Linked DNA regions of Lytechinus pictus. The protein of the gene in region 2 interacts with the protein of the main gene of each other region in a pairwise test. Links are inferred from orthologs where the notes say so. Each region holds a gene or a part of one and is shown on either strand. Other genes may lie near its edges.

Region 1 (17,495 bases), on a different chromosome or scaffold from region 2:
ATTTCATAGTGTTGCAACATTAAATGAAAATGATCATTGATCGATTCAATCATTTTTTTTATTGTTTTACACTCGGTCAACACCATAATAGTCTACATGTGGGACTATAAGAGTGTAACATCATAAACAATCTTCTAGAGTCAAGTATTAAAGAGGTGAACATTCTTCATTTTCTCCGGTATTTCAAGGAAATATGGAAAATAGATAGCCAATATAAAGATGTAAAATGTGAAATTTCAGCAACTTTTTGGGAAGGTTTCTTTTCCCCAATGGCCCTAGATCTCTATATGGTTAAACAGTTGTCAAAATAGGTCGTTAACAGCGATTAAACGCTTTGACCCAGCCCAAGAATAGATTTTTTCAAGATAGAAGATTTTAATTTGACTTTGATTGGGTGTTGAGCATTGTCACTTGTCACCATGTTGGTTACCATTAGATGGCAATGTTACTATAACAGGGTTCCCACAGAAATTTGAAAACAGAATTCCATGACTTCCCGTGACGTCCCGGGAGTTATGTAGAATGTGGGATGTCACAAAACTGGGAAAAAGGGAAATCATAAACACCAATTATAATAGCAGAGTATAATAACAGAGTATGAGAGTTGCGAGACACAAAAACTGGAAAGCTGCCATAGCCAAGAGGTAAATGCAATTCCATGACTTTTACAAATTTTCCAAATTCCCTGACTTTCCATGACCACAATATTTCCATGATTTTCCATGACTGTGGGAACCCTGCTTTAATACATGTATCTATTATCAAATGGGTCCAGTAGAACTTACGTAATCTTCCATACTGCTCCACGAGGTCAATCTTTGACAGGAGATTAACGTGAGGTAGTTCCATTTGTAGCATGGTGGATAGAGAAGTGAGGAGGACACTGATGAACTTGGCTGGATCACTGCAGTAGTGGGCATCTACTAGATGAACAGACACCAACTGTAAAGAAAGGAAGATTTGAACATCATTAATAGGGGATTGAGTACTTTTGTGGAGGCTTGCAAAAATATGAGCTGTGGGGCACTATATGCTGTCAGTATATGCAATGTTTCAAGAGGAAACCCTGGGCCTTCAATCAATAAATATCATTTCATGCTCTAAAAGTGAAATGGGGTTTATTTTTCCTCCATATCCTCGAGTGTTAACTCAAGTGTCCATAAATAATTTACACTGACATAATGATGACAGTAGTCATCATTATATCAGCCATCAAGCGACCAAGAAGCTTAACATCTAAGGTGGTTCCTGTCTGACCTAAAGGTTTGCAATTATGATCACAACATAGCTGAAAGAAATAACAAATTATTTTAAGATCCTGAATGATGATGATATTGATGATAAACAGCAGTTGTATAGTGCCATTTATCTGTAAGAAAACATTCAAAGGCCCCGGTTCAACAATATATCTCAAATTATTCACAAGTTTGATGGAAAAGTTGGGTCTTTAGTTCAGAATGAAATCAAACAAACCCAATATTAAAACAAAGCAACTTATGGCCTTTGTCAGTGACTATCTATAAGGCTATGGTCACAACTTCCAAAATTAGACTGCTTGGGGAACGAGCAGCGAGTTTTATAGCCAATTTCGCCCGGGCACCACTGGTTTTTGGGGGCATCGCTTGGTCGCCACTCAAGACTTAAGGTGGAGTTAAAATTCTGGCGGCACCTGCTCACTTTTCACTTGCCACCCTAAATTAAAAAACGCTCAGTGCCCGGGTGGTCACCGTCTGGGCACCAACGTAATCGGTCAAAAATTGAACTCATGGGATCAAAGGCTTTCGAGCGGTCACCGGCCCGTTGCCAACCGCTCGTTAGCAAATGATACACTAAAATGTTGTTTATTTCAATTCCATTTTTAATTTGTGGAATACTTCACCTTGAAATTCCACTTCTGGAGCTGGGCGACCATGTTCTTCACTGAATCGTGATGTGTGTAGAGCTCAACCTGACCAGGACAGTCAAAGAGAAAGTAATGATCCTTAAACTTATCCAACTGGCCCTTCAACCAGTCCAGGTTCTTCTCCAAATACTCCATGCAATAGACCAGGCCTCCATTGGGTCCAAGCCGAAGCTTCTCCATGACATCTGAGAGGGTGACAAGGTCAGAGATGTCCACTCCAACGTCGTAGGGGAGAAAGTCGTTGGCCGGGTCCAGGTTCACGATGGTCACTTTGCGTCCGGTTTGTGAGAGGAATTCCTTCATTCCCTTGCAGTAGGTGGTCTTACCAGATCCAGGTGGTCCGATTACTACTTGAGCAAAGGCCATGTTTTGATGCTTGTTCTATTTAAGTCAAATCTGAAAATGAGAGATTCAAGACGATGTAAGTTCTGGGGTATGTTAAGAATTATAACTACAATGTACACTAACTTTGCCATTATTGTAACTTCCATGGAATCCTTGAATGTGATTGGCTACTGAGCCTCGTTAAAATGGTAAAGTTAGATAGGCCTACATGCAGTTGCAAGTCTTTATAAAAATGGACCTAATGGTCACAAGACTGAATTATGAAAGAAAATGATTGGTAAATATTGATGAACTTCTTCTTCTTCTTCCATGTCCACCTTTGGTGTGTAATCATACTTTTGGCAGGTATGGTAGGCATCTGAATATGTACAGTGCAGGTTTAAACAAATTCATCAGCTTGGAAAGTGCAGCTAAAAACAAGTGGCCCTATCTAGCAGAGCTGAGTTTCCTGTACCACTTGCTTGAATTGGGCTAAATTGGTACAGCTGATGGCATCTTGGAACAGCCCATTCCACAGTTTAAATGTGTCAGGGAAGAATGTCCGTTGGTAGCTAATGGCAATGCGACCGACATTGTCATGACAAGCATGAATGTAGGACCCTTGCTGTAGCAAAATCAGCATTCATTATATTAGGCGCTGTCTTCATGGTCTTATTAGACACTTTCTTTTTTAAAATATAATACACTCTGAATCAATCTATCATCCAAGGCCAAGCCAGGCCCAGGGTTCAAAACCACCTTAGTAAATCTGTGCCAATACTCTTCATCTTTCATACGGTACTGAAAGGTCTAGAACAGCCCAGAAAAATGTTGATTTAAATCAAAAGAGAAGTAGATTGTCGCTAGGGCGAGCACATAATACGCCCACCTGTAATGTGGAAAATGGAGTTAGTGGTCAACCAAAGAAATTACAGGTGGCAACTTGACCTTTGACCTCAAAATCAATAGGATTCCTGGGATCCATGCTAGTATAATACAAACCAAATTATATGAGCCTAGGTCAAGTTAAACTAAAGTTATCATGTATACAAGGACTTCAGAAGGGTAAGATGAAAACATGTCACAATGACCTTGGACCTTTTGACCTCAAAGTCGATAGGATTCCTGGGATTCATGCTAGTATCATACACACCAAATTATATGAGCCTAGGTCAAGTTAAACTAAAGTTATCATGTTTACAAGGACTTCTGAAGGGTAAAATAAAGCATGTCACTGTGACCTTGACCTTTGACCTTTTTCCATGGTGACCTTGACCTTAGACCTCAAAATTAATAGGCTTTCTGGTATCCATGCTAGTAACACACACACCGAATTATATGAGCCTAGGTTAAGTTAAACTGAAATTATTGCATACAAGGACTGCAGAAGGGTAAGATGAAAACATGTCACTGTGACCTTGACCTTTGACCTCAAAATATCAAGAGGCTTCCTGGGATCCAGGCTAGTATCATACTCACCAAATTAATTGAGCCTAGGTTTAGTCAAACTGAAGTTATCGCGTTTACTAGGAAAAGTTAACGGATGGACAGACGGACGGACACCAAGCGTGATACCATAATACGTCCCGTCAAGAATAATGCTGAAAGTTTCATCAAAATCTGATGTCAAATAAGAAATTTACGATATTTTAAAGTTTCGCTTATCTCTACAAAACAGTTATGTGCACAATTCAACTGAGAGTCAGTGACGTCGCTCACTATTATTGTTTTTTCATTGTTCGAATTATACAATATTTCAATTTTTACTGATTTGACAGCAAGGACCAATTTGACTGGACCATAAAATGTTAAAACAATGGTAATTCCACATGTTCAGGGAGGAAGAAAACTCTGTTTCACAGGAGAATGAGAAAAATATTAGAATATTTCATATTATAGAAATAGTGAGTGCATGATGTGATGTCATCAGTCTCCTCATTCGTATACTCTGTCTTGTCTTTCCGTTAATGCCCACAATCATCTAACATTAAACAAACTCATTTCATTTTCCACATGCTGCCTTGGCCTTGCAATTCATTAGATCTAGTGTCTAACAGAAAGGCCTAGATCTAAATCGATTTAAACTTGAATATCTCATTCTCAGTTAGATCTAGTACATAACATCATAAGTTAGGCCTAATGTTTGCATCTACTTAGGATACTTAGGGAATGTACTGAACGAAGTCATTATGTATTCAGTTCCAAATTCCTTCTTCTCTTTAAATTGGCCGGATCATATGCTGGTGGGTCAGCATCGAACTTGAACTTCACTAGTTCACTTCTCCAATATTTGTCCAGTCCGTTCTTGAAGCTGTAGACACTGGGTGTATTAACTATTAATTCATCCATGGTTTTCTCATTCTCATATAAGGATTTCTTACGTTTCTCAGTGACTGATCTTGGAATAAACAATTGACATCTGGTAGGCCCATGAACCTGACCCAAATCTGGCACTACCTCCTGGTCATATCTATGAAATAACTTGTAAGTTTCAATGTAGGGAGTTTCAGTTGGATCAATCTTTGTTTGTATGGAAGTTTTTTACCTCAGGTACCAATTTAGTGGCCCTTCTCTGTACATTTTCTAATGCATGAATATGTTTCTTCGACTCCATACGGCATGTGCATACTCTACATGTAAATGTGGTCTGATCAAAGCTTTTATACATGTAGGAGTAAAAAGTTCTCCTTGTGTAAATAAACATATGTTCATCTCATCAAATTCATTAACCTATTGGCTTTATTGATCTTTGCCTGAAAATATTGGTCAAAACTAAGCTTTGTGTCAATGATGACGCCTAAATCTACTTGTTTCAACTTGTGATAGATTATGTGTGGCATTACCATGTGTCATTGTGTAGCCATTAAATTCATCACTCTTTTTTCCCATTGTAAGTAGACAACATTTATCTGGATGGAACTTTAACAGCCACTTGTCAGACCAGGAAACAAGACAATCTAAGTCTGCCTGTAATAACTCGGCATCATTGTCATTCTCTACATGTTTTATATCTTCGTATCATCTGCAAATAAATCAATATTACTTGATAAAATCTGATCCGGCAGATCATTGATGTCCATGACAAAAAGCAGGGATTCAAGGACACTCCCTTGCAGAATTCCGCTAGTAACAATCAGCCCAATCAGAGAAGCCATCATTATAAACACAAACACGGTGCTTACTACCGACCAGAAAAGATCTGACCCACTCACATATGGGTTTGGATATGCCAAATCCCTCTACTTTGGCTAAAAGACTCTGGTGCGGGACCTTATCAAAGGCTTTCATGAAGTCTAAGTGTATGCTTCAACTGCACCGCCGAGTCCCGCCGACCTCCAACATTCTTGTCCAATCATCTAAAACTTGGAGCAACTGCAACATAGTGGATCAACCAGATACAAGTCCAAATTGGTTTACACTGAGAAGGTTGTTTGTTGCTTCTCACATGCTCATATATTTTGTACCTTAGAATAGACTCCATGATTTTACATACTATACAAGTAAGACTTATAGGTCTGTAGTTTGATGGGAGTTTACGATCTCCCTTCTTGAATACTGCACTAACATTGACTTTCTTCCAAATACTTAGGACTACGCCTGATGCAAGTGAGTTCGAGTAGATAATACTCAAAGATTTGCAAGAACAGGTGCCATTTCAAGCAAAACATGTGGATGTAACCCATCTGGACCTGGTGATTTTAATAGAAACATTTAGTTTACTTAATTTCTTCAATACACATTCTTCAGTAATAATTACTGTGTCCAAATTAGGACATCATGGCGTTGAACAGAAGGGATAGGTCCATCAGGAGTGTATTATACAGTAGAAAAGTGTTTCAACAGTGCATTGATTTCTCTACATCAGATTTTGTCAATTAATTCCTATTTCCAGTACATTCTTGTAATAGAGGTGGTATTCCACTTTTGTCTTGAATTTCGCATACTGCCAGAATTTTCTTAGGATTAGATTTAACCTCCTTGGCAAATGGCAATGTTAGACTCATATCTTTTCTGACAATATCTTTTAGCTGCCTACACTTTATTTCTGATTGTATATTCTCTACAGTTTTGTCCAACTCTCCCAGGCTCTATGCCTTTTCTTCATCAACTTCAAGGTGTCATAATCCATTGGAAAATCACTACCCTTGCCCCATGTACGTCTACCGCTTGTTTCAATAGAAAGAATAAATTCTCCCTTAGCACAATCGATTATAAGGATGAGACCACTGCTGATCGACATCACTCACAGCTGAAAGTTCTTCCTCCCAAGGAATGGCACTTTACAATTTCTCTATCCTTCAATCAGCATAACAAAGCAAATAAAAAACCAAGACTGAGTCAGTGATCACCGAGTCCCAAGCCAGGGACTACAGTACAAATACAAATTTTTTAGATGCATAAACTTAGTCCGGCATGTCCGAGCCGAGACTACTTCTGTCCGAGTACTAGTACTAGTATGGTAGTGGATCGTATTACCGAACACTTTTCATGAATTCAATCATATCAAACACATTATTCTCATAAAATTCACCAAACTTTCACCATAAATACACAATTACCTACAAAATATAAATATGTAAAAATTATGCCGAAATCGTTTTTCCTTTTTACGATATTAGCTTCCAGTCGGACCCCTCTTCGCATGTGAATATTTTGGTCACTTGAAAAAGGTATCGTATTAACGAAAGTGTGTTTTCTATGGGAAAAGTTGAGATAACAACAAAATCACTACGCTATTTTGACCATATTTTATTAATATTATTTTTAGAATATTAAGACTTTGAAAATGTGTTTTTCACCATTTTTCATCATCTTTCTATTCAAGTTCCCTTTAGAAGGATGTTGCAAAGTTTTGAGCGTGTGAAATTAATTTCTGACGCGTACGATGCGCGCGTATCTGCCTATATTTTAGATCTAAGTTAGGTGTCCGGACATCGTACCCTCTATCCGATCTCCACGCACGTGTACAAATATGATGGGGTGTCCAAACTTCGCGTACTTTTCAAAATATTCTTCAGGCTTAATATTGTTTACAAAATATTAACAATTTATACAAAATCAATCAAAAAAATAGTTACCACATAGACGGCAAGATCGTATATTATAAAATTATTGACGAAAATGTGAAGTAGGTCAAGGGGTTTCGCCGGTATCGCGATCTCAAAATTCCATTCCCATCTACGAATGTGCGCTGTGCTGGAAAACCGTTCTGAAAAAGTGTGACCTAACTTCGCAGACCAAAGTTTTTGAGATTTAAACAAAAACTCGAGCTCAAAAGATGAGATATTTATATCAAATTGACGACAAAATGCTATACTATAGAATCAGTCAGTACCACATTTCAGTCAGTCCGCAAGCCCTGAAAAAGTAGCTTCTTTTATCCAAGAGATATTCATGACTAGAGGGTTTTTGCATAGTTAATGAGCTTGGTGCGAACCAAAACACCTCTTTTTATTCGGCCATTGCTGCTCTAAATATTGACCAAATTTCATGTTTTTGGTATCTTTGTAAAGAAGAAGAATCATTCTTTCAGGTCATGTATTTGGATTTTTAAAAGAATGTTGTAATATAGGAAAAACTTTTGATCTAAAACATAAAACAAAATATTTTTTTTCATGCAACAAAAGTTGTTGTTTTCACACTTAATTTCTGTTTGGGCACAAATGATTTTTAGATCATGATAAAGCTGAAGATCTAAGCTTTAATATGATATAATTTTAATAAGAAGATGTATTTTAGATGGGTCAGCAGCGAGCTTTTCATAGGCCAAGTACATTTTGCAGCTCAAAAACAAGAATACTGCGCTCTGATTGGTCATAGAGCCACACACCCACGCAAATCCAATGTTCCTCACACTGGGCCTCTGCAAGGTCACACTCACCATGTGGTAATCTCTTCAAATTACCCGCGCCTGTTTGTTTTGAAAACAGTATTCAGCCAATCAGAACTCTGGATTTTATGTTACTCAGAAATTTCAGAAATCTCGTCTTGCATCTTGATGGATAAAGCTGGCTGCTGACCCATCTAAAAGATGCCACATATCAAGAGTGACATTGTAAGAAAGTATAGAGTTTGAGCTTTCTGATGATATAAATAATGTTGGTGCCTAAAACACAGAATGTTGCACAATTTGCAAGTGAAAACAGAGGAAAACAATTATGTTTGATGCATCTTTTCAGGTAAAAAATCACTTATTTATCAAAATATTTCATTCAAAAGAAATGACCAATATAAAAGAGTAACATTTACTCTTGCCCATGGTACAAAAATAATCAATATTACTCGAGGAGAAAGTGGTTAAATTCTTTGAGAAAGAAAGTCTCACAATTCACGAGATTTTGCAGGGACATGAATTCAGCCACGAGAGGACTTGGATAAATCTTGCTCATTTGCTCATTAACACAGGGGCTTGCGGACTGACAGATTTAACTCACATTTTTGATGATATCTGCTTGCAAAATGATGATATCGTGATGCTTGTTGAGAATAAAAGATTTCTTCGGAACGGGCGCCAACACTTTTTAACAGTGACTGACAAATTTGCCGATCTTTTGTCAATATTTTCATGAATACTAGGCTAATACTAATAGTAATAGGCCTACTGAACTCATCCTAAAGTAAAAAAGAAAATTACGCCAAAAGGTAATTTTAAGTCGCTTTTCAAGTTGATGTCATATTTTAAGAATATTGTCTAGTTTTTTAGATAATGACCGTCCGCGAAGTATGGACACACGCGAAGTTTGGACTCACTGCCATACAATGTCAATGTACACCGGTTCATGTCTCTGCAGCAACCGCTTTACCACGGCCGCGGCGCGGCGTCCACGGCGGGCGAGCCAGGCCTGCAACTGCCATGGCTGCAGTGGCCAGTGCATGCCGGCTGCGGAGCTCTGTTCAATTCCACCTTACAACTTGATCGAATAAGTTCTAACATTTAGACTTATTATCAGCTTCCCTATCACGCAGTTATGTTTTTAGTAATAACCAATAAATGAAACACGATCAAATTATCACATTCTCAACTTACATGAGGAGAAAGCAAATGAACTAGGCCTACATTTAATTAAGCCATCGAATTCTGAAGTTTCACTCTTCTGACGTCCTGCTCAGATTATTATTTCAATTTTGCGTTAGTTAGACGACCGTACGCGTACCGTACTTAAAAAAATAACACCAATTTTGTATACCATATATACTGTATATCACTGACTTTTCTAGAATACTTTCATTTCATTTCAAATGCATTTTTAGACTTCACTATTTAAAATATATTGCTATATAGTGGATTAAAGTGAATTAAAACCTATTATCGGCCTATCTGTCAATTGTTATTTCCCTTGTTATTTCTCACCTTGAACCTTGCATGAAGAGTAATATCCGTATAATCTCTTTCAGCAGCTTCAAAGCTTTCGGGAAGAACCTTAATAATAAGAGTAATCCTGTGCGAGTTGAACAATAAAAAAAACTTGCCACCTCACAAATCCCCAATTTAAGTAAAAAAATATGTATGTCATGAACGCATATTATGGCTGGATTATTTTTCCCCAAATAATATCATACCATATTTATGTGGTATGTCTATAGGAGACAGGAGGCAGTGATGTAAATTTTGATTTGCGCCAAATTATTTGGGATACCATTCTCTTTCAGGTCATGTTGAATAATTTTTTTCTTAAATTGGGGATTTAATTGTGAGGGGTCAATTTTTTTTTACTCACACGTACGGTATATAAACAGAAAATACCCTTTCTCAGCTGTGCAATTAATTGGTCAATCATAATTAAACAAATTTATGAGGGAATTGCACTAAGATGAAGATTGCCCATATCAATCCTTATTGAAAGAAAATAAATAAATATTGATCGGCACGCAAAAGAAGGTCCCGCAAAATTTAAAGCATTCTTCAAGTTGGGAGTGCAGGGCGGCGAGTATTTTTTTTTTTCTGCTTTAATCTAGGCCACAAATCCGAGAAAAAAATGACTGGTAAGTGAAACTATAAGATAAGATATTAATTATCATTGGTATTATCGCATTTTTGACCGTACTAGTCAAATATGCGATAATACCAATATTTGAATTTAAAAAAAATCTAAATCAATTTGGCACATGATATATAACGTAATTGTGCCTGTTAATTAATTAGAACTCATTTTTTATTGATTTCTAAAAAGGCCGGTTTTTACTCAACATAATAGAAAAAACATCAAATTATGATAACAAAAAAGAGGTTTTATTCAGAAAATAATCATAGTAAAAACGTACTTAAAAATACATGAAAAAACAATAAATGGGGCTCTAAACAAAATTAACAAAGCTATAGTGTTGTTTATAAATTTTGTGTAGATGGAAATATGGTTGAACTTAAGGTACTCATTCTATTGAAAAGACTCCTGGTCACGATGGCATTACAAATAGAGTCGTGAATTCTCCTCTGCTTCAATTGAATTTATCATGATTGCAGCTTGGTCAGGTTCCAAAGAAGATGAAAATAGACCCATTTTCAGAAAGGGAGATCAATTAATTACTAGTAATTCCCGCCCATAAATATCTTTGTTAACTTCGTTCTCAAAAATTATTGAAAGGATAATTAAATTTTTATAAGAGGACATGTTGCTTTCCATAAGAAGTATTATGTGATAATCAATTCGGTTTTAGAGAAAAGACAACTCATTCTATATTGGCATTAATAAATAAGATATCTGTATACTTCTTTAAACAATTCAGAATTTCTGATCATATCGTAGGGCGTACGTAGGGTAATTGTTCCTCGACTCATTTCTCAAAAGCGTTTGATACAATAGATCATGAAACGGTAAGTTATCAATTAAATTACGGTAATGGTTTATAGAATATATCTTACTGTTAGATTTCAGTTTGTTACCGTAAATGAATCAGAATCTCCAACAATTAAGGCTAGTTACCTATGTAATTCCACAAAGTAGTATTCTTGGCCCTTTCTTTTTGTACTTTATGTTAATGATTTGAACAATTCATCTCATGTTCTGTCGTTTATTATCTTTGCTGATGATTCAAATATTTTCTACACACATCATGATCCACATTTACTTGTGAGCACTATGAATGCAGAATTTAAAAAAAAGTAACAAACTGGATTCAGGCCAACAAACTGTCACTGAATCTGCAAAAACTATATGTTTTATTTGCCGCATAATACTGCAATCAAGGAAGTGCAAACAACAAATTTTTAGGTCTTATACTAAACGAACTTAGGCCTACGTGTAATGCTCATATCAACAATATATACTGTGGCAAGAAATATTGGAGTCATCAATAAGCTTAAAGGTCAAGTCCACCCCAGAAAAATGCTGACTTGAATAAATAGAGAAAAATCAAACTGGCATATCATTGCTGAAAATTTCATCAAAATCGGATGTAAAATAAAAAAGTTATGACATTTTAAAATTTCGCTTATTTTTCACAAAACAGTAATTTGCACAACTAGGTGAGTCCCCGGGGGGGGGGGTGCACTCGACCAAAAAAGTGGTAGGGGTGTGCCGCGGGCGAGACAAAAAACGGGGGCCTTGCATGGAGCGGGCTCATTGTAAAAAGGAGGGTCCTCGGAACGGGCTTCGGAACTACAAATGTTTGTGAAAACGGGGGTCCTTGGAACGGGTCGCCTGCGTGCGAGTGCGTATGCATCCCTATGGAACGTACTTGCAGCTAGCCCGGCGGCACGACTGACGGGCGCGCTAGCGCAGAGGCGATGGTCGGACGGCCGCTTTTCACCAAAATTGCGACCGGAACGGCGTAACGGAAAATATGCGAAGCCCTGGAGCGGCCGGATTTTTTTTCTTCTTTTTTCTCGAGAAGAAAAAAATGCTATGCTCTGGAGCGGCTTTCTTTGTTCTTTTTCTCAATAAGACAAAAATGCTATGCCTCGGAACGCAAATTTGAGTGTAAAAATGGGGGTCCCCTCCGCGGCACATACCCACTATGCATTATATACTGAGTGCCCCCCCCCCCCCCGGGGGTGAGTCAGTCGATGATGTCCATCACTCACTATTTCTTTTGTTTTTTATTGTTTGAATTATACAATATTTCTTTTTTTTTTAGATTTGACAATAAGGACCAACTTGACTGAACCATATAGTATTAAACAATGCTAATTCCACATGTTCAGGGAAGAATTAATCATTGTGTCACTTGACAATGAGGAAAAAATTAGAATATATTTCATATATCATATAATAAAATACAAATGAAATAGTGAATGAGTGATGTCATCAGTTCCCTCATTATTTTGCATACTAGCCAGGATGTGCCTATAACTGTTTTGTGAAATTAAGCGAAACTTTAAAATGTCATAACTTTCTTACTTTACATCCGATTTCGATGAAATTTTCGGTGTTATGCTGGTTGGATTTTTCACTTTTTATTCAAATCAACTTTTTGTTGGGGTGGACTTGCCCTTTAAAAACGTTCTTCCAGCACAGGCGCTATCCACGTTGTATTGTGCAAGAACCATAATCTTAATTATGGGATTGGCATGGGGAAATGCCTATCAAACATGTCAAACGAGACTCAACAATGTCCTGCTACTTCAGAAAAAAGTACTGAGAATAATACGCAATATGTCCTTAAGTTAGAGCTCAAACGTATGCAGGCGGATCCAGCCTTCGCCAATAAGGGGGGGGGGGGCGAAATTTTTTACAGCCATACTTTCCCCGATCGGCCGCTCGAAAATGATTTTTGGTTTCTTTGAAGGGGAAGTCCTAATAATTCTTAGCTTTATTCTTATAAATCAATCCTTATTCATATAATTCAAGCGAAGCGCGAGCTAATTTTTTTTGGAAATCTTATGTATTTTTATCCTAAAATTTGAACATTCTGGGCAATGTTTGTTATCCTGAAAAAGATGTGTATGCAACTAAATAATTACTGCGGACGCGAAGGGCGAGCAGAAATGAACTGATGGAAAGGGTACATGTTAAAGAATTCATGCATGTAAGCCATGAATACGCTACATATTCTAAAAATGAAATAGTGCGAGCGCGAAGCGCGAGCTGATTTTTTTGCCATTTTTTACCCAAAGAATGGAAATTCTAAGCACTTTTTGTAACTTAAACAGAATAGGTATCATTATCATGATTATATACCTGAACAATTGATGCGAGCTTGAAGCGAGAGAAGAAAATTTCGAGATTTAGACTTACTTAACAAGACAATCTATTCATGTCTTATAAATCATGAAAAGGATGAGTAATTGGGGATCTTCCTTACATTAAAATTGCGAACGCAAAGCGCGAGCACAAAATTTTGATATACGTTTTGTACTGATCGAAAAGGTATCTATTAAGGACTGCTTGCACTCAACAATTTATGCGAGCGCGAAGTGTGAGCGGAAATAATCGAGATTTAGACCTAAAAATAGTTTGTAAATCATGAAAAGAATGAGTAATAGGGGATCTTCCTACATTAATAATGCGAGCACAAAGCGCGAGGAGAAATTTTTTTCTGAAACTTGATAATGATTTAAACAGAGAACAAGTTGAGTATCTTAATAAATATGCGCGCGCAGGTTTCATATTTAGACCTAGAATCTATGGGCATTCTAAATACATCTTTAACGATGAAAATCAAAGCGAGCGCGAAGCGCGAGCTTAAATTTTTTTTTTCCGATCTGAAAAAAAAGAGTCGATTTCAGCTCTATATTTCAAGCACCTTGTAGGAAAATTGTGAGGTGGATATGGATCGCACTGATATTTTTCATCATAATTACTTTGAGTTTTGACATAGGACCACGACATCCTTAGGACATGTCATCATATGAAAATGATGACTGTCTTCCTATTCCTCTTACTAAGGGCGAGATGAAACAAAAGGGTCAATTTAATTATTAATTTTGATATCTTATTCATTCATGCCTAATGAGGGTGAGAAATAATTTTTATGATGATATTATAGCCTGAAACTGGACATTTCAAGCATTTTTATATTTATAAGTAGGATGCATCAGTTAATAAATTTTTAAACATTAATCCAGCAAAAATTGCGAGCCTAAATTTTTAATACACTGTCATGAAAAGGGGATTTTATTGAGACATACATAACTCGCCAATCAAAATGCGAGCATGCAGCGCTAGCTGATACGTTTTGAAAATCAGACCTGAAAAGGGATATTTTGTAAAATTTATGGAACACACGAAAATAATAGGTAACTGGTAAATCATAATTTGCGAGCGCGCAGCGCGACTCAGAAAATGTTAATATTCAGACCATATAACTGGAATTTTTACAGAGCACTATTTACAAATCAATTTGTAAATCACACAAAATAATGAAGGTTCGATTTCCGAGATGAAATATGTTTTGTATAATTATTGACTTTCAAACTTGATATTTAAACTCTATAATGAACAAGATATGAAAATCACCTGACGGGCAATGCGAGCACGAAGCGCGAGCGGAAATTTTATATAATGACACGAAAGATTATTTTTATTTTCTAAGTCTTCCCCTCATCTTATTTCATTCACTCGTCTTGTGACTATCACCATACCTAAAAGATAAACAGAGTATTTTCTAGCAAAACTGTATTTTCCACAGGACCAAAGGACCAAACTCTGGAATTCATTTGGACAGAGTAAAAAAAGAGGCAGCTAATCTGAATCGATTTAAATTACTCATCAAAACATTTCTTTTGAATTCTTACTGATTCAAACAAATATATATAAACTTCGATCATACTTTTCCACGGTAGTGTTGATTATTTTAAAGTCAATATTTAATTTTTTATATAGACTATATACATTTGTGTTACAGTGCTTATATCTATATATAAATTTGTAGAATTTTTTTTTTTGATAATTTTTTCTCTACTTATATCATATTACCCTTGTTTAATTTTTTGATAGGTGTCTACATCTTACAAGCTTTGCTTAACAGTAGGCCCCTCCACTTTTTCATTTCATTGGTACGTTTCAATCCTGCATGATTGTGTTATGCAGTTGATGCATCTTTTCTTTGTAAAAATGATTTATTATGAAATGTGCTTTGTGGAATATGAATATATCAATAAAATAAATAATAAATGATACGTGAGACTTGTGTGGCGCACTTTCCATCTTGATTAAATGCTCAAGGCGCAGCTATAATAGTCGAAAAAACAACATTTGTTTGAAAAATAAGTCGATGTCTGTCACAAAGCACTATTTTTGTATACAAGTATATGTTTTCAGGTTGCCCATGAAGGTGGGTCATAATCATGATAATAGTCTGGGGTATCAAACTCTGGGGAAGAGTTCCTGTACCAACGGAATTTTCTTCTCAATTAACTGATTATAACATGTATAATGTGTCTTTATGTCTCATGATGACAATGCTCCCATTCCCGGTTTTGTCTAAAGGCCTACCATTGATGTTTATTCTTATAGTTTATTCTTATTACATTGCTTTTTATTTTGTATTTATGTTTGTTCGTTTACTTTCCTTTACGTAATTACACATTAGGGCCTATTATCATTCTTCTTTTTTTTTTACATTATTTTACTTATTTTTAAAAATTTTATCTTTCTTTTATCCACACAATTCCCCCCTCCATCAAGTTCTGTTATTTATTTTTTACAAGGAGTGGGCCCTATACTGCCAAATGTTCAAATGTGACTTTACTTTGGCACTTTATTTAGTACCGGTTCCATTGTTGTTTACTTCCAAAATTTCATACAAAACATTAAGGAAAATTCCATATTGTGATTTCCATTGTAGTATATATAGGCCTTTAAATTTGTTATGATAACTACGTTTTTAAGATGACTTTGGGTCCTAACTTATATAAGAATGTGTTGGTATTCCTAGTCCATTTCCATCACAATTTAAAAAAAAAAGAAAGTAACGTACTCAATTAAGCCAATATGATCATTTGCATCATATCTTTTGTTATTATATATATATATATATATGTATATATATATATATATATACACATATATGTAAATTAAGAAATATAATTAAAACAATTATGGAAAAGGATGCATCCGTAAAAGCCAATAAGGCTTGCAATGAATAGATGCTCCAAAACGCACAACATGTGTTTATACTGAAACACACGCCCGGACATATAGGGGCATATAGTGTCTCCATCCACCCGCTGGGATCCAATGCACATACTCGGCAGTATGCATATGCAGATCGCACACAAAAGCTGCTACCATGTCAAACATAGATACCCGACATAGCAACAGCCAAAGCACGCGATCCATACACCACTATAGACATTATCAGCCGCTCCCGACGGGTGAACAGATTCACCTGCCCTTTAGGCATGATCATGACTTATTTCTAATTTTTCCCGCGAAATATGGGATGACATGCTTTCATTTTATTTTTCATTTGTTTTATTCAATTTGACAGGAAGTAAAACATGAAAAGTAAATCTAACCATACCAATGTGCAAATTTATGAGGTAACAACAGGCAGATTGGAGATGGCCTTGTCATTCGTATAAAATCGTTTGCAAAATGCGTACATACGGTCGATTTAATGAATTATCTAATCTCTCTGGAAAAAAATCATGAAGCGCAGTGCATACTACACACAACAATAATCACAGCAAGGTCTGACAATATGCATTACCGCATATAATTATACTCATTCATGCATGCTTACTCACAATTTGTATCTTGGTGCAAAACAAAGGCTATATAGGCCTACATTCCTCCACGTACATGTATGATCATGTAATTCATTATATTTCATGATCAGGGGACAATGGCCTCATGGTTTTTATAGTAAAAAGAAGAAAAACAAGAGAAAAACAAGAAAAGGGGCGTTTTAAAGAGTGATGAAGGGTAAAAGGTCTGGATGGGGGCACGGCCCAAGACTCATAAATTGGCGCCGCGTCCCTCTGCAGCTCTAGACCACGGCGCTTAATTCAAAGGGTAAATCAGAATACCTATACAAAATAAAGTTTAATGGAAATGTTGTACAACGACGACCACACCATTGACTCCAATCCCCTTCAATGTAATATATTTCCTTATCCCTTATCATAATATATCCCGAGTGCAACTGAGACATGTACCTCTACTTTAATTCGTTCGATCGTTGTTTATTAGTCGCTATCTTACTACGATAATTATTTCAAATAAATCACGTGCACTTTAAGATTGATGTTACAAAAATTTAGATGTCACAAACCAATCTACCTGCATATTAATCTAGTGATATTAATGCAGCAATTAAAGACAAATGCTACGCGTGCGAGTTCAGTATTTACCATATGGCCGTCATAAACGACTGGTTTCCTGGT
Region 2 (16,742 bases):
GGACTCTGAATTCGAACTAAGCCTGTATTTTGGTGTCATCTACCTACACACTAAAACTTTTAGATTCCATTAAATATTTTTCGAGTTATTGCGTGGAAACCAAGTGGGGGGACAGACGGACGGACGGAAGGACAGGGGCAACGCTTAATGCCCCCTCCAGACTTTGTCTGCAGGGGCATAAAAAAGAAAGAGAAGAAGAAGAAGAAAGGAATAGAAGAGGAAAAATAGATTACATAGAATGATTCAAATATTGAATTCTATTGCCAAGCTAAAAACACTCTGTGTGTTCCCCATCTGTCCTCCTATTTGTAATTTATTGTTTTGTCTGTTTTACAACAATTTGGATATGTTTTGAAGTATTATTGACAAAGACTTAAAGACAAAGTTGGATTCAAAAGCTTATGTGTGTTTGTGAGATGAACACATAACATAGAACATGTTTTTTCACACCAGAGGGAAGAAAATATTTGAAACAATGACTGACTTAAAGGACAAGTCCACCCCAACAAAAAGTTCATTTGAATGAGAAGAGAAAAATTCAACAAGCATAACACTGAAAATTTCATCAAAATCTGATGTAAAATAAGAATTTTAAGAAAGTTATGACATTTCAAAGTTTCGCTGAATTTCACAAAACAGTTATATGCACATCCTGGCTGGTATGCAAATGAGGAGACTATGACGTCATCCACTCACTATTTCTTTTGTATTTTATTATATGAAATATGAAATATTCTAATTTTCTCCTAATTGTCAAGTGATAGAACGATTAATTCCTCCCTTAACACGTGGAATTAGAATTGTTTAATACTACATGTATATGGTTCAGTCAAGTTGGTCCTATTGTCAAATCTGTAAAAAATGAAATATTGTATAATTCAAACAATAACAAACAAAAGAAATAGTGAGTGATGGACATCATCGACTGACTCACCTACATGTAGTTGTGCATATCACTGTTTTGTGAAAAATAAGCGAAAATTCAAAATGTCATAACTTTCTTATTTTACATCCGATTTTGATTATGATGATAGTTTGACTTTATTCTATTTATTCAAATCAGCATTTTCCTGGGGTGGACTTGACATTTAATTATTTTTTCATGTCCACCAGTAACACGCCTTAGCTCATTCATTAAGCTTCTCACTCTCCACTTGGATGTCTATTCTCATCCCCCCCTAAAAAAACAAACTTTACAAGCCTCACTTCTTGCGTTTACAATGGAGACAAAGAGAAAAGCATTTCACGACAGAATAAATATTCTTACCAATATTAGTAGGGTATCCTACTTCATGAACAGCCGGGTCTAGGTTGATGATGTATGGTGGCTCTTTATTTGCATACAAATGAGCAGTCAGGCGCTATGTCAGAAATAAAGTGATAAACAGTAAACGTATGATTAAAATTGAAAATAATGTCATCAGAAGATATATAAACACTTTCAGTTTCACTTTTAAATATAAAGGTTCAACTTTCAAATTCGATTATAAAAAAATAAGAACGATTTTGCGTCATTGTTGTCAATTTTTTTTTATTTTTTAGAACACATCGTTCACTTATGGGGAAAATAATGTTGGCCGGCAATATGGCTCTTGAAAGTCAGAATTTCATGTAAGGACATGCTCCCAAATAACCACGAACATCAGGCTAACCATGAAAAATCCACCTTTTTTTAACCCTTATTTCTGAGCTGTTATGTTCAGAAATAGCGAATCTGACATTTTGGATGCGAGGGGTGGTTAATGTTAGGTGAGAGAATTTTACCTTTTGTTTCAGATTTATTTTTATTTCATATCTTTATTCCTCCCTTTTCTTGCTTTCATAATTTATTTCTTTCTCTCCTTCCTTCTTTCTTTCTTTCTTTCTTTCTTTCACAATCCTTCAATTTTTCTTTCTTCTTTCTTCCCACCCCTTCCCCCTGGCTTGGTCACATCGCTCTGCTTTCTCACCAAGACTCTGAAAAAAAATGTTTGATTTTAAAGAAAACTCACTTTTCATGCCTGCATTTAAGTATTACATGTACATAAATAAGTGATAATGAATAAATCATGGGTGTCTGAAACTCTGAATGTCTGCAATGATCTACATGTATATACTGTAGACTATTATGTTGACTTTGCTTGAAATTTTAGTTAAAATCGTGGAACAGAAATACAACCTTTAAAAAAGAACCCCCATGGGCTCCAAATAGCCACCACAAAATACATTAATGGTGGCTAGTTTTCAGGGGGATCTAAAGACTAAACATAGCCCTCATAAAAAGAAAAGTAAAACTTTTGGATGGCCACGATGACTGGAAACGAAAAAAGCTTCGTCCGTTACTCCCCCAAACTTGGTTATGAGAACGAATATTCGTCAGATTTAACACTTAATTATCCCAGCCCAGGATCATAAAACCACACCTCAGAGATCATTAACTTACTCATTTCAAATTTTTCTTGCTTAAAGTTAAACGAGCATTATTATCTGTTTGAAAAAGTTTATTGTTTTCTTTGCTCAAAAAGGGGACAAACAGCGATACGAAGATCGCGTTTGATGTAATGCCGATGGATATTCAATACTATACAATAAGCAAATGCCAAATCACCACACGTTGGTGACGTCGCGCCTCTTTTTGATGAAAAATACATTGACTCTAATACTAGGAGTACCAGTACAAAAGTGAATGGGGAAAAGGGGTGTCAGAAAATGGAAATACCCACTCCAGTCTGCCACTCAAGCTGTTGAGTTGCATATACATGTGCGTGTATGTAAAGGCACGATTCTATGAACAAGGTTATGATATAACCTTGTTCTCTGTTTCTACTCCCTGTGCGGTGAAATAAGGTTGGCAATGTTTGGCTTATTTTCTTTTTCTTTGGGACAAATGCTTGATTTTTTACACTGTCAGTTTCCATTACAGCTATTCATCATATAACTTGGCTCTTAGGAAAATTTGATTCTTTAAAGTATGTTTTCTTAATTAAAAATAGAGATTGAAAAATTACAATTGTCTTGCCATATTACTTTCCACAAAAATATGCCCAAAATAAAAGTTTTTGAACGCTCTGAATACAAAAATTACTCCAAAGTTAATAATGAAAAATAAATTGCAACTGTATGCAAATTAGTATTTTTGATCACAACAGTGATATTTAAATGATTTTTTAAATTGTTTGCTGTGTGTAGCATTGGCATACCATAGTCCATGTAGATTTCCCACAGGCAGGATGGTAATTACCTTGAGCGAAGTTTGTGCAGGCTCCACTGCACTTCACTACCGCTACACTATGCTCCACCTACCCGAACGTCGAGACCGTGAACTTGATCTGATATTCGGAGTGACAAAGGTGGGATTTTATGGGGGGAAAATATAAAATTCATGCAACATCACAATCTTTAAAAAAAAATTAAAACTAATATTCTTACTTTACACAAAGTTTCGCTTTTTTTCCATGCTTCTATCAGTCTCAAAATTGGTGATTTAGAGCCAACATGAAGTTCCTCACACATATAAATAATTCGCTGCCGATTTCAAAACATCGCATGCGTAAGTGTCCGAGCTCATATCGGACCCGGTACCTCCCGCTTATCGCATCCGCATGCGATGTTTTGAAATCGGCAGCGAATTATTTTATATGTGTGAGGAACTTCATATTGGTTCTAAATCACCAATTTTGAGACTGATAGAAGCATGGAAAAGTGAAACTTTGTGTAAAGTAAGAATATTAGTTTTAATTGTTTTTAAAGATCGTGATGTTGCATGAATTTTATATTTCCCCCCCCCCATAAAATCCCACCTTTGTCACTCGGAATATCAGATTGAGTTCACGGTCTCGAAGTTCGGGTAGGTGGAGCATAGTGTAGCGGTAGTGAAGTGGAGTGGAGCCTGCACGAACTTCGCTCCAGGTAGATGGTAATGAACCCTTGGCCTTGACTGAGTGATGTAATCGTAAACACTTGTTCACTGCAACCATCCTGCCTGTGGTGAATCTACAGGGAGGACTTTGGTATGCCAATGCTGTACATAGCACACACTTTAAAATCATTAAAATATCACTTTTGTGACCAAAATTACTAATTTCCATACAGTTGCAACTTATTTTTATTGGTAACATGGGAATAATTTTTGTATTCACCAGAGCGCTCAAAAACTTGAATTTTGGGCATATTTTTGTGTACACCCTCTATTGGTGGAAAATAATATGGCAAGAAAATTTTTATTTTTCAATCTCTATTTTTAATTAAGAAAAAATAATTTAAACTAAGAATCAAATTTACATAAGACCCAAGTTATACACAGTGACAAATTGTGTACAACGGATAGCTGAGCGTGAACGTAGCAGACGTGTTCATTTTTGCTTATTAAATGACGTCATCCAGCCACTGCCGAGATCCAATTTATGAAAATGAAAATATAGTAATAGTAATTAGTATAAAGCATGCGCAGTGCAAGCCTTCCATTTCCCCAGAAAGTATTCCACGAAAACAAGTCTGCAATTCTCTATCACCTCGTACCAAAATCGACCTAGAATTTCACTGTCCTATATTATATATGAATTATGAAAGGTATTCTCGGAGGATCTATTTTCTCACCGATACCGCACAGGTAAGCAAATTTCGATTACTTATTGCTTTTCCGTCAGAATCTTACGAATTAGCGTCGATATGGCATCGTGTTCGTCGGAATTTGTAGAGTCTATCGCAACGTGCACAAAGTCAATTGGCTTCCCGGTTTCAGAGCGTCGCGTGAATATGCATGAAATTGCAGAGTTTCGATAATCTGATCGATACCGGAGCGATCCGATCACGAACCAAGACCATTCCCCGCGTACACAACGTGACCGGATATCGTTATCGCTATCGATACTTCCGCACGCAGTCCGAAGGAATTATTTTGGCGACCACGTGGTCATGACGTGATCTGCGCGATTGACCAATCAGCGGTCTCCGAATCGCTGTGCGGAGATGATCTATTCGTTGTACACAGTCTATGGATAATTGTTCCTCGTGTAATACGTAGGGCTGGGACTAAAACCCGGGTACCCGGATCCCGCCCGGAAGCTTCGGGTACCCGGGTAGAAAAATCAATACCCGATACCCGAAAATTGCTCACCAGTATAACGTACATGTATTTGATTTGTATTGCGTAGTGTAAGACATGATTGTAACTCATCACAAAAGTACACAAGTCTCATTTTGAATCTCACCAATAACCCTCGAAATATCCATAAATATACAAGTTTTTCAAGTGATGATGATGTGACAGATCGTTCAATCGTCGCCATGTTTCTATTGCAGCGCAGTGACGTCATCCAGTCACTGCGACGCAAGCAAATTTATGAATGAAAATATAGTAAGCATGCGCATTGCAAGCCTCCCGTGCCCCACGCAATATTCCATCGAAAGAAGTCTGCAATACTCTGTCACCTCGTACCAAAATCGACCTAGAATTCCACTTTCCTATATTTTATATGAATTATGAAAGGTATTCTCAGAGGATCTGTTTTCTCACTGATACCACACGGGTAAGCAAAATCTCAGTTTGTGTGCTCACCAAATGCACATGATGCTGCCAATACACGACAATAGTCGAGTGCAATATTCATCGACTGTCTCATCATCACTTTGAACTGCTTGTCGAAATGCATGTCTCTCGAATACCACATTCTTCCAGGGCTCAAAATATTTGGTCAGAGCCTTCAGCGTTGTCTCATACTTAGGCTCATCCTCATCTACCAGTGTCTCATACAACTCTTGAACATCTGGTCCAGCACAATGTAGTAGAAGAGCCCTCTTCTGACCATCTGCTGAGACTCCTGATGCTGCAAGGTAGTACTCAAATGTCCGCCTCCATTTTGGCCAGGCAATCCCTGCTCTAGCCGAACGAACATCAAAGGGTGCTGGCTGTGAAAGGTCCACGCGTCGAGCCACATCCTCTGCCTTTTCAGGTTTTTTTTATCCTCGTCGCCAATTTTGTGTATGCGTATTCTGACTCTAATACACACTTGAACTCATACTCGGTCTCGATTTCTACTCATGTTCTAGGCATGTCTGCTTGTCTGCTTCACCCACGATACGGACGCTTGCATCGCGTAACGTTGGAGAAGAACAATAGAAAACAAGATGGCGGCGTAAACATCGGGCAAGTCTCTTCCGTCTATTCATGATATTTTCCTCATTTTTTTTGATGAATTCTTGTCTAGAAATAAAATCCATAGCGTAGAGATGTCGGAAATGAAGTTGTTAGTTGTATCCCAAGTACATGATTTAGGGCTAGATCTTTTAGAAAGAAAGTAGAAATCTCGGGGGCGAAAGTTTCAGGTTTTTTGGTGGTACACACAAAAGTATAGGAAGGAAGACCTGGCTTCGTATGAGAGTAACCTTACGTTAGTAAATGATTTTTACTCTCTAGAAGCCTCCTGGCTACGACCCCCCCACTCACACGTATTGCGAGGTTAGTATTAGTATTACTAACCTCGCACCACGTCCACGAACCGCGTTTGGCAGTGGATTTCTAACTAGTGGGTAGCGCGTGCTGGGATCTCACTTCTTGGGTCCACAACACACGACTTCTATGGCTTGAATTTTCTGTGCGCGGCGGCATGTAATGAACCCTTGGGTAGCCAGGCGGCTTCTAGAGAGTAAAAATCATTTACTAACGTAAGGTCACTCTCATGAAGCCAGGCCTTCTATCCCATAGACCCACACAATGGAAGCCAAAACCTGAAACTTTCACCCCCGAGATTTCTACTTTCTTTCTAAAAGATCTAGCCCTAAATCATGTACATGGGATAAAACTTCATTTCCGACATTTCTACGCTCTCGTTGTTATTTTTGAACAAGAATTTATCAAAACAATGAGAGAAATATTGTGTAAAGACGGAAGAGACTTGCCCGATGTTTACGCCGCCATCTTGTTTTCTATAGTATTGTTCTTCCCCAACGTTACCCGATGCACGCGTCTGTAACGTTGGCGAAGAACAATAGGAAACAAGATGGCGGCGTAAACATCGGGCAAGTCTCTTCCGTCTTTACACAATATTTCTCTCATTTTTTTGATGAATTCTTGTTCAAAAATAACAACGAGAGCGTAGAAATGTCGGAAATGAAGTTTTATCCCTACATGATTTAGGGCTAGATCTTTTAGAAAGAAAGTAGAAATTTCGGGGGCGAAAGTTTCAGGTTTTTTGGTGGTACACGCAAAAGTATATGACGGAAGCCCTGGCTTCGTATGAGAGTGACCTTACGTTAGTAAATGATTTTTACTCTCTAGAAGCCGCCTGGCTACCCTTGGCCTGGGTGCGACCCCCCATCCTACAGTACAATTCAATTGTATACTCAACACAATAATCAATATGTGGGGCATGGGCTAAGCATGGACGCATTTTTTTTTTATTTACCTGAACGAAAGTCGTTTTACCAGAGCCTGCCATCCCTAATACGATTAAACATGGTGGTTTGGTGTCAGTGTTGTGCAATCCCCCAGCAGAAGCACCTCCATTCTCACCGTCTTCGCTGCTAACTCTGTCACTCTCACGAGGTTCAGAAATACCCATGGGCGTCGCCATTTTGGCTTATCAAGATAATGCGCATACGCGGCTGCTGCTGATCATGATTGGGGTTGGTTAAGTTGGTTACGTTGGTTGGTTCGTTGGTTGGTGGTTCGGTTGGTTGTTGGTTGGTATATTGGTTGGTTGGTTAATTGGTTGGTTGGTTGGTTAGAACAGTTTGTATTCTTAGATGGTGTTAAGTCTTATATATGCAGTCAATTACATGTGTCAGAGTGCAAGGTTCACCTTATTTCTCATATGATTTCCTTCATGACGCATACATGTAGGCCTATACATGTATTTCTTCTGAAAAGAACCCCTGCAATTTATTGTTGCACTAGCTGACTGTCAATACAGAATTGATTTCTGTTAACGAATGGATCATTGCTAACATAATGAAGCTTGAACGTATACGTGCCACCCTGATGTTCAGATAATAATCTTATTATATGTTCTGCATCTCTATAATTAGGAAAAATTGACCAGATGCCGAGATCTCAGATCTTGTCATCATCTACATCCTGTGGGAGAGATGACAATATCTCATCATATATCTACATCCTGTGGGAGAGATGATATGAGTTGACATTTGACAAGATCTTGGATCTCGTCGTGTCTACATGTGGGAGAGATGGTCAGATGACTGAGATCTTGGATTCGTCATGTCTACATTAATGAGTTGTGGAGATGATGATCAGATGACAAGGTCTTGGATCCATGATCTGCACTGCATGGATCATGATGTAGACATGCATGACGAGATCCAGGATATTGTCATCTGATCATCGATCTCAAACGGCATGTATAGATATGACGAGATCCAAGATATCTTGTCATCTGATCATCTCCCATATTGGATAAAGACATGAGATCGAGATCTATTAATTGTCATCTCATCATCTTTTTGAAGGATTGTAGACATGACGGGATGATTATCTGAACAAAATCAGGCTTAATTTCCTTGAATCATTTGTTAAAACAAACTACATGTTATTCAGCAACACTCTAGCAACATTGCCAGCTAATATTACAACTAAGGCATGCGGTTCAGATTACTGAAGTCTTGTGCAAAATTCCTTGGGGTTAAACATTGGAAGCAGAGTTGGAATTAAGTTCACACTTCTTATTTAAGTAAACTTCTTTCCAGAAATTCAAGAGTCATTAATTCATTATTCAGAGTACATTTCCAAAACGGGCCGGCTTTGCCCCCCCCCCCCCTATAGTCTGCTATGCAGACTCTGAATGGCTCGTTAGGTGGGATCTCAGCGCGAAGCTAGCCTGAAAGGGCGAGCGAAGCGAGCCATTTCAGATCTGCAGCTACAGTAGACCTAGTCTATGCAACTCCTTGAATCAGCTGTGGTTCACACACTGCAGATGTGGGTCTACATTTGTAGACTAGCCCCCCCCCCCCCCCCTCGATCCGCCAGTGATCTCATACTGATATTTTGTTTGATGAAAACAAGTTCCTAAATTTACATGACATATTTGATTGGTTGCATTATGTATCAATTAAATAAAAGAGGAATTCCACTTGCCCTTCGATTTTAGATTAATTTAGATTTATTCATTTTCCGTTCAAAAAGCACAACAAAATAAAAGTAACAATACATAGTCAGATTTAAAGTACAATATTAATCGGAATAATGCATAAGAATTAGAAGGTATAAACAATGAGAACTATAATGCGAACTAAAGTAACTTTGACTATTAACTATATAAAAAAACAGAACGGAGGGGCTTGCCAAAAAAGCAAAGCTTGTATGTGAGGCAAGCCCCTGTCTGCCTGTAACTTAGTTTCAATACGTAAAGACAACATTACAAAACTATAGTATAAATGAGAGACGGAAGACAGTTTAAAAGGAGACTATACAAAATATCGAAGGTACCAACGAAAGAGTGACACAAATTAGAATAAATGATAATAGTAATAATAAAAAATAAATGCTCCGTTATGTGAATTGAATCTATTAGAACGTCTGGCATCCGCCAACATTTTGTTCAAAACAAAATGTACAAAATAATACAAAACAAATATACAATTCAAATACTATAAGCAGATAAACAAAGACAAAATAGTATTTTATCAAAAAAGAAAAACAACTTAAGTCTACTATTAAATAAATAGTAAATGCATTACATGTAAACACGATGTGTAAGAATATTACGAATATATTACTACAGAATGTTTGCAGGTTGATATCTTTAGTACTCTTGCTGACATTTTATCTTCAGAAATCACCCCTAATAGCAATTATGTTTTGGATAAAAGAACAAAACTATTCAATAAAAAAACTTCAGTTTCAAATTTCATATGTAGATACATTTTTCGTGGCACTCCATAAATAGCTTAAAGTACAATAAAGCGTGATTTAAAGTTTATAGCAATCCATCTACAGAAAGCTGACCCAGGTTGTGTTAAACGCATCTAATATCTTACGCTCTTATGTTGCAAAACATCATACGCACAATTGTCTGAAAGTTAATAATGAGCAAGATAAATGTAAATTCTTCTTGGGGTCGGCCCTATAAAGGGTGTCATCAATGATTATAAAAATAAGTTCATAATTTAACTATAAAATCCTCGTTTCTTTTGTTGAGTCTCAATAAGAATATATGAATTTATATTTTTATGAGCATTCACTATTTTATCATGCGTACTTTGAACAGAGAGATTTTAAACGAATGCTTCCAATGGTTTATTGGACCCTACTTAGAGTTTAAAGCTATTCTATTTGAAAAGTCACAAGAAGTTAACCCTTTTTTCAAATAATAAAAATCCATATAGGCATAAATAAGGTTAAAGTTTCGAAGGATGCTTGTTTATCTTAATCCCATTTTCATGTTTGTAGTTTCAAAGTTGCATTTGTTCACCAGATAATTGCCTGATGCAGTCTCACATTGTGCACGTTTTCATTATTGAATTTATTACATTTTCCTTTGGTGTGATCTACGTTGCCTATAAACTCAACATATTGTTGAACATTATTTTTATTCATTACAATTACATTTTGTCTGAACAACATCTTGGTCAGATTTACCAAGTTTCAAAATGTTTCATACTGTAGAATCCATATTCGTGTAAATTTTTATTTTTAGGGATGCTGAGTTTTCTCAAATGTAATTATACCTTTTGATTCATCATTTTGTATCATTTTGTAATGTTAAGTTCAATGGGCAAAGTAATTTGTCAGGGATAAATGAATCAGACCATTAAGATCACATCGATATTCCTTTGAACAATTCTGAAAACACTTGTCTCTTTCTTGTTACTTCCGAATGTGTCAATGCATTCTTACACATGCAGGCCCGTCAGATCAAATTTTCGCATACGTTCGTAATTCCGAAGCTTCGTTATTCCGAAGGTTCGGATATTCCGAAGGTTTGTTATTCCGAAGGTTCGTATTTCTGAAGGTTCGTAATTCCGAAGGTTCGTTAGTCCGAAAACGAAATGAGGTTCGTAATACCGAAGGTTCGTTAGTCCGAAAACGAAGTGATTAAAGAACATTATTTCGTTTTCGAACTAACGAACCTCCGGAACAACGAACCCTATTTAGTTTTCGGATTAACGAACCTTCGGAACAACGAACCATATATTTCGTTTTCGGATTAACGAACCTTCGGAACATCGAACCTTATTTCGTTTTCGGATTATCGAACCTACGGAATAATGCCACAAATGTTCGGAGTAACGAACCCTTTTACGTTTTTGGATTAACGAACATCGAGGTATAGGCAATTTACGTGTTTCAGAATTACGAACCTTCGGAATAAAGAACCTTCGGAATTACGAAGTGTAACCCGAATTTTAAAGTGGTATGGTTATGGTAAGCTATTTGACCCATAAAGACGATAAACTATGTTTATCGTCGATGGGTCAAATGGCTTGCCATATATGGTATGATTCTGGGATATTCTCGGTAAATCAAAATGTTGCGAATCTAAACGACCCTCTGTCTTAGAACAGGTACATGCTGGAGGGTAATAGACTTGTCCATTGCCTTTAATTATCACCTTCATATAGATGATGCGAGCGGTTCCCTTATATTTTGTAGAGGAGACCCTGGCCTATAATCTAGGCGGAGGTAGCATTTATTGTCTTTGTCACATCAGACGTATCGCTTGCGTTCAGCATAACAGCAAAGACATTAACTATTACATTAACCGTTCAAGACATTAGCCTCCGCCTAGATTATAGGCTATAGAGGCCCGGGCAGGTTCCGTTTTGTACCAAAATATATCAGGGCATATTTTGACACATCGTCACTTTTGTCTAATTCCCTCATTTTTTTTCTCCTTGTTTTTTTTTCAATTGTATGTTTCACCCTTATCTTTCTGTATTTTATGTTTAACCTCAGTTTCTTCCTCTCTGCTCTTAAAGTCTTTAATGATTAAATGCCATTTTTCCTCATTTTACTACTTTTCCTTGTCCAAGTGTTTTTTCTTAATTTGGTAAAATTGTTTAAGAAGGCTGCACATAAAATATTTTGATTGTCATTATCAAAAAGAAAAAAATTGTAAAAGTCGACTGACTGAAATTCGCTACTGTCTGCAGACAAATATTTGCACATCATGATCATGAAGCTTATCTGCCACAAGTCATGACTTGTTATAGTTATGACCTTTGTAGCAATTAAAACATTATGCAAATAATGTGATAAGCGGCGGGATATAGATTTTCCTTTGGATACTGCAGGCGTGGCTTGATTATAAAAAAAAAAAAAAAAAAAAAAAAAAAAAAAAAAAAAAAAAAACAGAAATAGAAATAAGGCATCGTCTTCAAGATCCAGCACTATCAAGCATTAATTGCTGTAACTGGTTATTCATCTGGATTGCTTGGATTAGTAAAATATTTGTTTAAAGAAATCCACCATAGTTGTTCCTGCGCCTAAATACGTAGTAGCTGAATTCTTGAACAGGTTGAATGCTGATTTGTGTATTACTCTGTTACTTCTATGTTCAAAGGTAACATTTTTCTTCCCTTATTTCAACAAAATCAAATTCTTGTCATTTTACCGACAACTTTATAGCTCCATGGTAATAGACCAGTTCGTAGTTACTTCATGGACAATTTTGGTCAAATGACCTTTCATTTCTTTCATTATGATATGTAGATTTCAAAGAAAGATATTACATAAGCATGCCTTACATAGCAGGATGAAGAAACTGAATGGACCAGGTGACAAGAATAGCACACTTATGAACACTTTATGAAGGGATTTGTTGCATTCCTATTTTGAAAGCATATCATAGCATGTTGCACAATGTACTTGGCAAAATGTGAAATACCAGTCGTTCGTGGACGCATTGTTGTTTTGTGTGGATGTACATGAAAAAACACAATTCAAAAGAATATATGCATAATCAAGACATCAAAGTTGGTGCTTATATGAAATGAAAACCAACTTTTGATGATAAAAACTTAGTAGAAATTGCTGAACAGGAGATGTCTGAAATATAAATTTGTTTACATGTCCTCAGATGCAGCTGGAACCAAAAAACCTAAAGCAGGGTTGGATCCAGGATTTCCCAAGAGAGGGGGGGGGGGGCACATTTTCCGAGGGAAAAATTGACAAACAAAAAAAGAAAAGAAAAAAAGTGTTTTAACCAAAAATTAATGATATTTCGTCCCCGAAAAAAATTGACATGAAAAAAATAAGGTCTTTACTTTCAAAGGGGAAGGGGCACGCTTCTCTTTTAATAGCATTTTTACATTATAATTTTTAATTTTGCTTCTCAAGGGGGGGGGGGGGGGACACAGCCGGCCCGTGGACCCGCTATTGAGCTAAAGGTTGTGCTTACCTAGGGTAAAATGTTTATGTGTTACAAAATTTGAAATGTATCGGTTTTATTTCAATTGACTGAAAGTGCAAAAGAATAATTGTAAGCAATGTATGGCACGGTTAGTTTGTTTCGCCGTTTTTTCCCTTATACAGCGTGAAAATGAGCATTTATGCGCAAAACGATTTCTGCGACCTTTACAAATTGCTCACACACGTGTAACATTATGTCATTTTTTTTAAACTTTCATTTGATAGATGAGACCCAAGCCCAAGAATATATGTAAGAAAATAATCCACATGTTGTATCTTTCTCAATTCCCAGGACCACTGTAAATGTTATTTGTATATCTAATATTACTCATTTTGAAATTTCCTTCACATGTTTTATATTTATTTGTCTCTGGTTCGGATATACAAACTATCGAACATACAAGTATCAACTAAAATGATAAAATACAGCAGAACCTATGTGTAGGTGGCATAATTGATTCCCTTATTTGCATACCGATCAGGCCGTTGTGATTTATCGTTTTCTGATATTAAGCGAATTTTAACTAGCATAACAATAACTTTACTTTTCTGCATTGATAACCGTTTTCATTGGGCAGTTGGGTTAAGAAGGTGGGTTTTTTTTAAGCTGACGTAGCCAACGTGAATTGTTTCATGGACCCGTGCCACGTTGATGTATTATTTATGAAGTTATTATGATGTATCTTATGAAGTAATGAAAGTTATGAAGCAAGTTTATTTTGTATTCACTGGTAGAAGCAATAAAATAGTACTTTAATATACATAATTTTTTATATATTTTTTTAAATGGAAATTTGCTTTTCAGAATTAATTTTGTTTTCCTTTCAAATTGTTCCTGGAACAAAATCATGTCCATTGTGTAGTGATGACCTTTTTTGCTTGTCAATTATTATCTAGCAAATAATGACCTCAATTTTTAATGGAATACCCTTTTTTGCTTGTAAAATTATTCCTGTGACAATATGCCCCTTGAAAAATCCTAATTTTGACACCTCTTTAAATAATCATTTCAGTAGAAGATATCTTTTCTCATTTTTCTTTCTTTTTACCTCAGTCGACATCATAATACAGAAAGGGCTAGCTACGGTCTAGTGTGAGGATTGAGTAATAGAAAGTAGATCCAGGTTCGTCGCTTTGGTTCGCGTTGAGAATAACGATGGAGAGGGTCGTAGCGGAGGAGGTGCGGGTGTTATATCAAGACAAACGTAACATATGAGAGAAGTCAAGACTTTGAAGACAAACTCATTAGAATTGATGTGGATTGAATTCCAACTGAGAAATCATAGACTGTACCTTCTAGGAAAAGTGTGCAGACAGACAAGAGCTGCCTTCCAGTGTATTTAAAAAAAACGTAAGACAAATTTGAGTTGCATATTTTTGGTTCAATATATATTACAGATTTGTTTTTTATACCGTTGATATACTAACTGCAGTTTGAAATACTATAAGAATAAGATCTATGCTTTTGCTAGATATTTAAAGTGTTGTGCTAATTAAAAACAAAAACAAAAGGTTCAAGGTAACAATAATTATGGCGACACTTGAGCACACCGTTTCGCAAAATCTAAAGTGTCCGGTTTGTTTTGATTTGCTTACTTATCCAAAACAACTGTCATGTACACATACGTTTTGTAAAACATGTATTCGAGATATTCTGGCGTTCTCTTTACTTAAAAATATTTTGTCGTGTCCAATATGTAGAAATACTACAACTGTCGCGAATTGCGATGTTGCAAACCTTAAAACTAACATTCCTGTTAAGTCACTTGTTGACGGCTTCAGGAATAGTAAACAGCTCTGTGACACGTGTGACAAGCAATCAAGAGCCGCACACTTCTGTTGCGATTGTGGTAAGAATATGTGTAACGCATGTCTGCAAGATCATAACAACTGGAACCCTAATCTTAAACACAAAGTAGTGAGTGTTGAGGACATCAGAGAGGGAAGGGTCGTCTTAGAGAAGAAGTTATATTGTCGGGAAAAGATACATAGAACTGAGAAGTATGAATGCACTGATGTATGCACGACATGTAAGAAGCTCATTTGTACGAGATGTCGCATGCTCTACCACACTCCGGAGAAAGGCCATCGTGTTAAAGATGCCGGGGAGTACACCGCCTCCATCAAAGATAGAGTTGAAAACCTACAGTCACGTGGTGAAACTAAAACTAAAACAGTCAAGAATCATATGACTTGTATTGATCATCAAATCAAACGCGTCAACTATCACATTGATGGGGAAAAGGCAAAAAACAACAGGATTTGCGAAGAAGCTATCAATAAAATAACAGAGAGTAATGCTACCTTGAACAAGCAACTCGATGATCAGAAAGAAAAATTAGTTAGGAGTTTAAATAATATGAAAATTGATAATCAAAGGTTAGTTAAGAGTATTGAGAGTGCGAGTGATTTGTTGAGTAATAGTTTGAAAGGCCAAATAGAAGGAGATGCTGCAGCAATTTGTGATTCATTGTCATTTGAATTGAATAATGTATTAGATAGGGATAATCCAAAGAAGATGGTTGCTATTGATGTCGGCGATCATGCAGAGGAACTGACGTTTACACCAAGCTGCGATCCTGATACATTATCAATGGGGGAACTGAGGTTTGTGAAATGTAAGCCGAAATGCAATGCAGCACTCTCAAAGAAGGACGCTATGAATGGCATAGCTGCTTCCAATAATGGTATGGTAGCAGTTGGTTATAGCGAAGGGGGAATCTATATCTTCTCTCCTAATTGTCAGCTTCAGGAGGCAGTGATCAAAGACGTATGGATCGTGGACCTAGGATTCCTCTCTGATGGTTGTTATGCTGTACGTGATAGATATAATAAGATGTCATTGTACACATCAAATGAAGAGAGACAGGATGTGACATTCGATACTCTAGGTAAGAGTGAAGGTGGAACAGGTGGTCTCGCCGTTGACAGCAATGATCTGATCTATGTTAGCTACAGGAAAGCTAAGAAGATCCAGGTATTCTCACCATCAGGTGGGAAGGCTATAAGGGTGATACCCTGCGATGGGTATGAACCAAAGCAAATCACAAGTTATGGTGATTCATTGATCGTTAAGCAGGATGACACTCAGATAGCACGTATTAATAAAAAGGGTGTTATAATGTATCAATTATTACGTAAACCTCTGGAAATACGCCTCTTTGCCGCTGTGAGTAAGGACAATACAATCCTGATTTCCTCTGTAAGATTCGAGGAAGGTCTGCTCAATATCGATGAGTATACCGGTGAGCTCAAACACATTAGGAGTCTTATATCTGATTACAAGATTGAGAAACCTGAGAGACATTGGTATTACCTTCAACAGTTTCAATCAGGAGAGATAGCTTTCTGTACACCTGATAGGCTCTATGTATTCAACCTAGTTACTAGTAAAGTTACC

The links.
Region 1: the proteins of GPN-loop GTPase 1-like (region 2) and GPN-loop GTPase 2-like interact in binary tests that used the Homo sapiens proteins (3 or more experiments, as listed by UniProt). The link is inferred for Lytechinus pictus from reciprocal best matches to the Homo sapiens genes GPN1 and GPN2.

What each region holds. Positions count from the first base shown.
Region 1 is NC_087248.1:21,487,718-21,505,212, forward strand, and holds the start of GPN-loop GTPase 2-like, read right to left. Parts: upstream 9,355-17,495; 5' UTR 9,255-9,354; intron 2,300-9,254; 5' UTR 2,270-2,299; coding exon 1,880-2,269; intron 943-1,879; coding exon 786-942; intron 1-785. UniProt on the Homo sapiens protein: Small GTPase required for proper localization of RNA polymerase II and III (RNAPII and RNAPIII). May act at an RNAP assembly step prior to nuclear import.
Region 2 is NC_087252.1:17,439,278-17,456,019, forward strand, and holds the start of GPN-loop GTPase 1-like, read right to left. Parts: upstream 7,989-16,742; 5' UTR 7,551-7,988; coding exon 7,383-7,550; intron 1,362-7,382; coding exon 1,268-1,361; intron 1-1,267. Other genes in the region: E3 ubiquitin-protein ligase TRIM33-like, read left to right, coding at 14,874-16,742. UniProt on the Homo sapiens protein: Small GTPase required for proper nuclear import of RNA polymerase II (RNAPII). May act at an RNAP assembly step prior to nuclear import.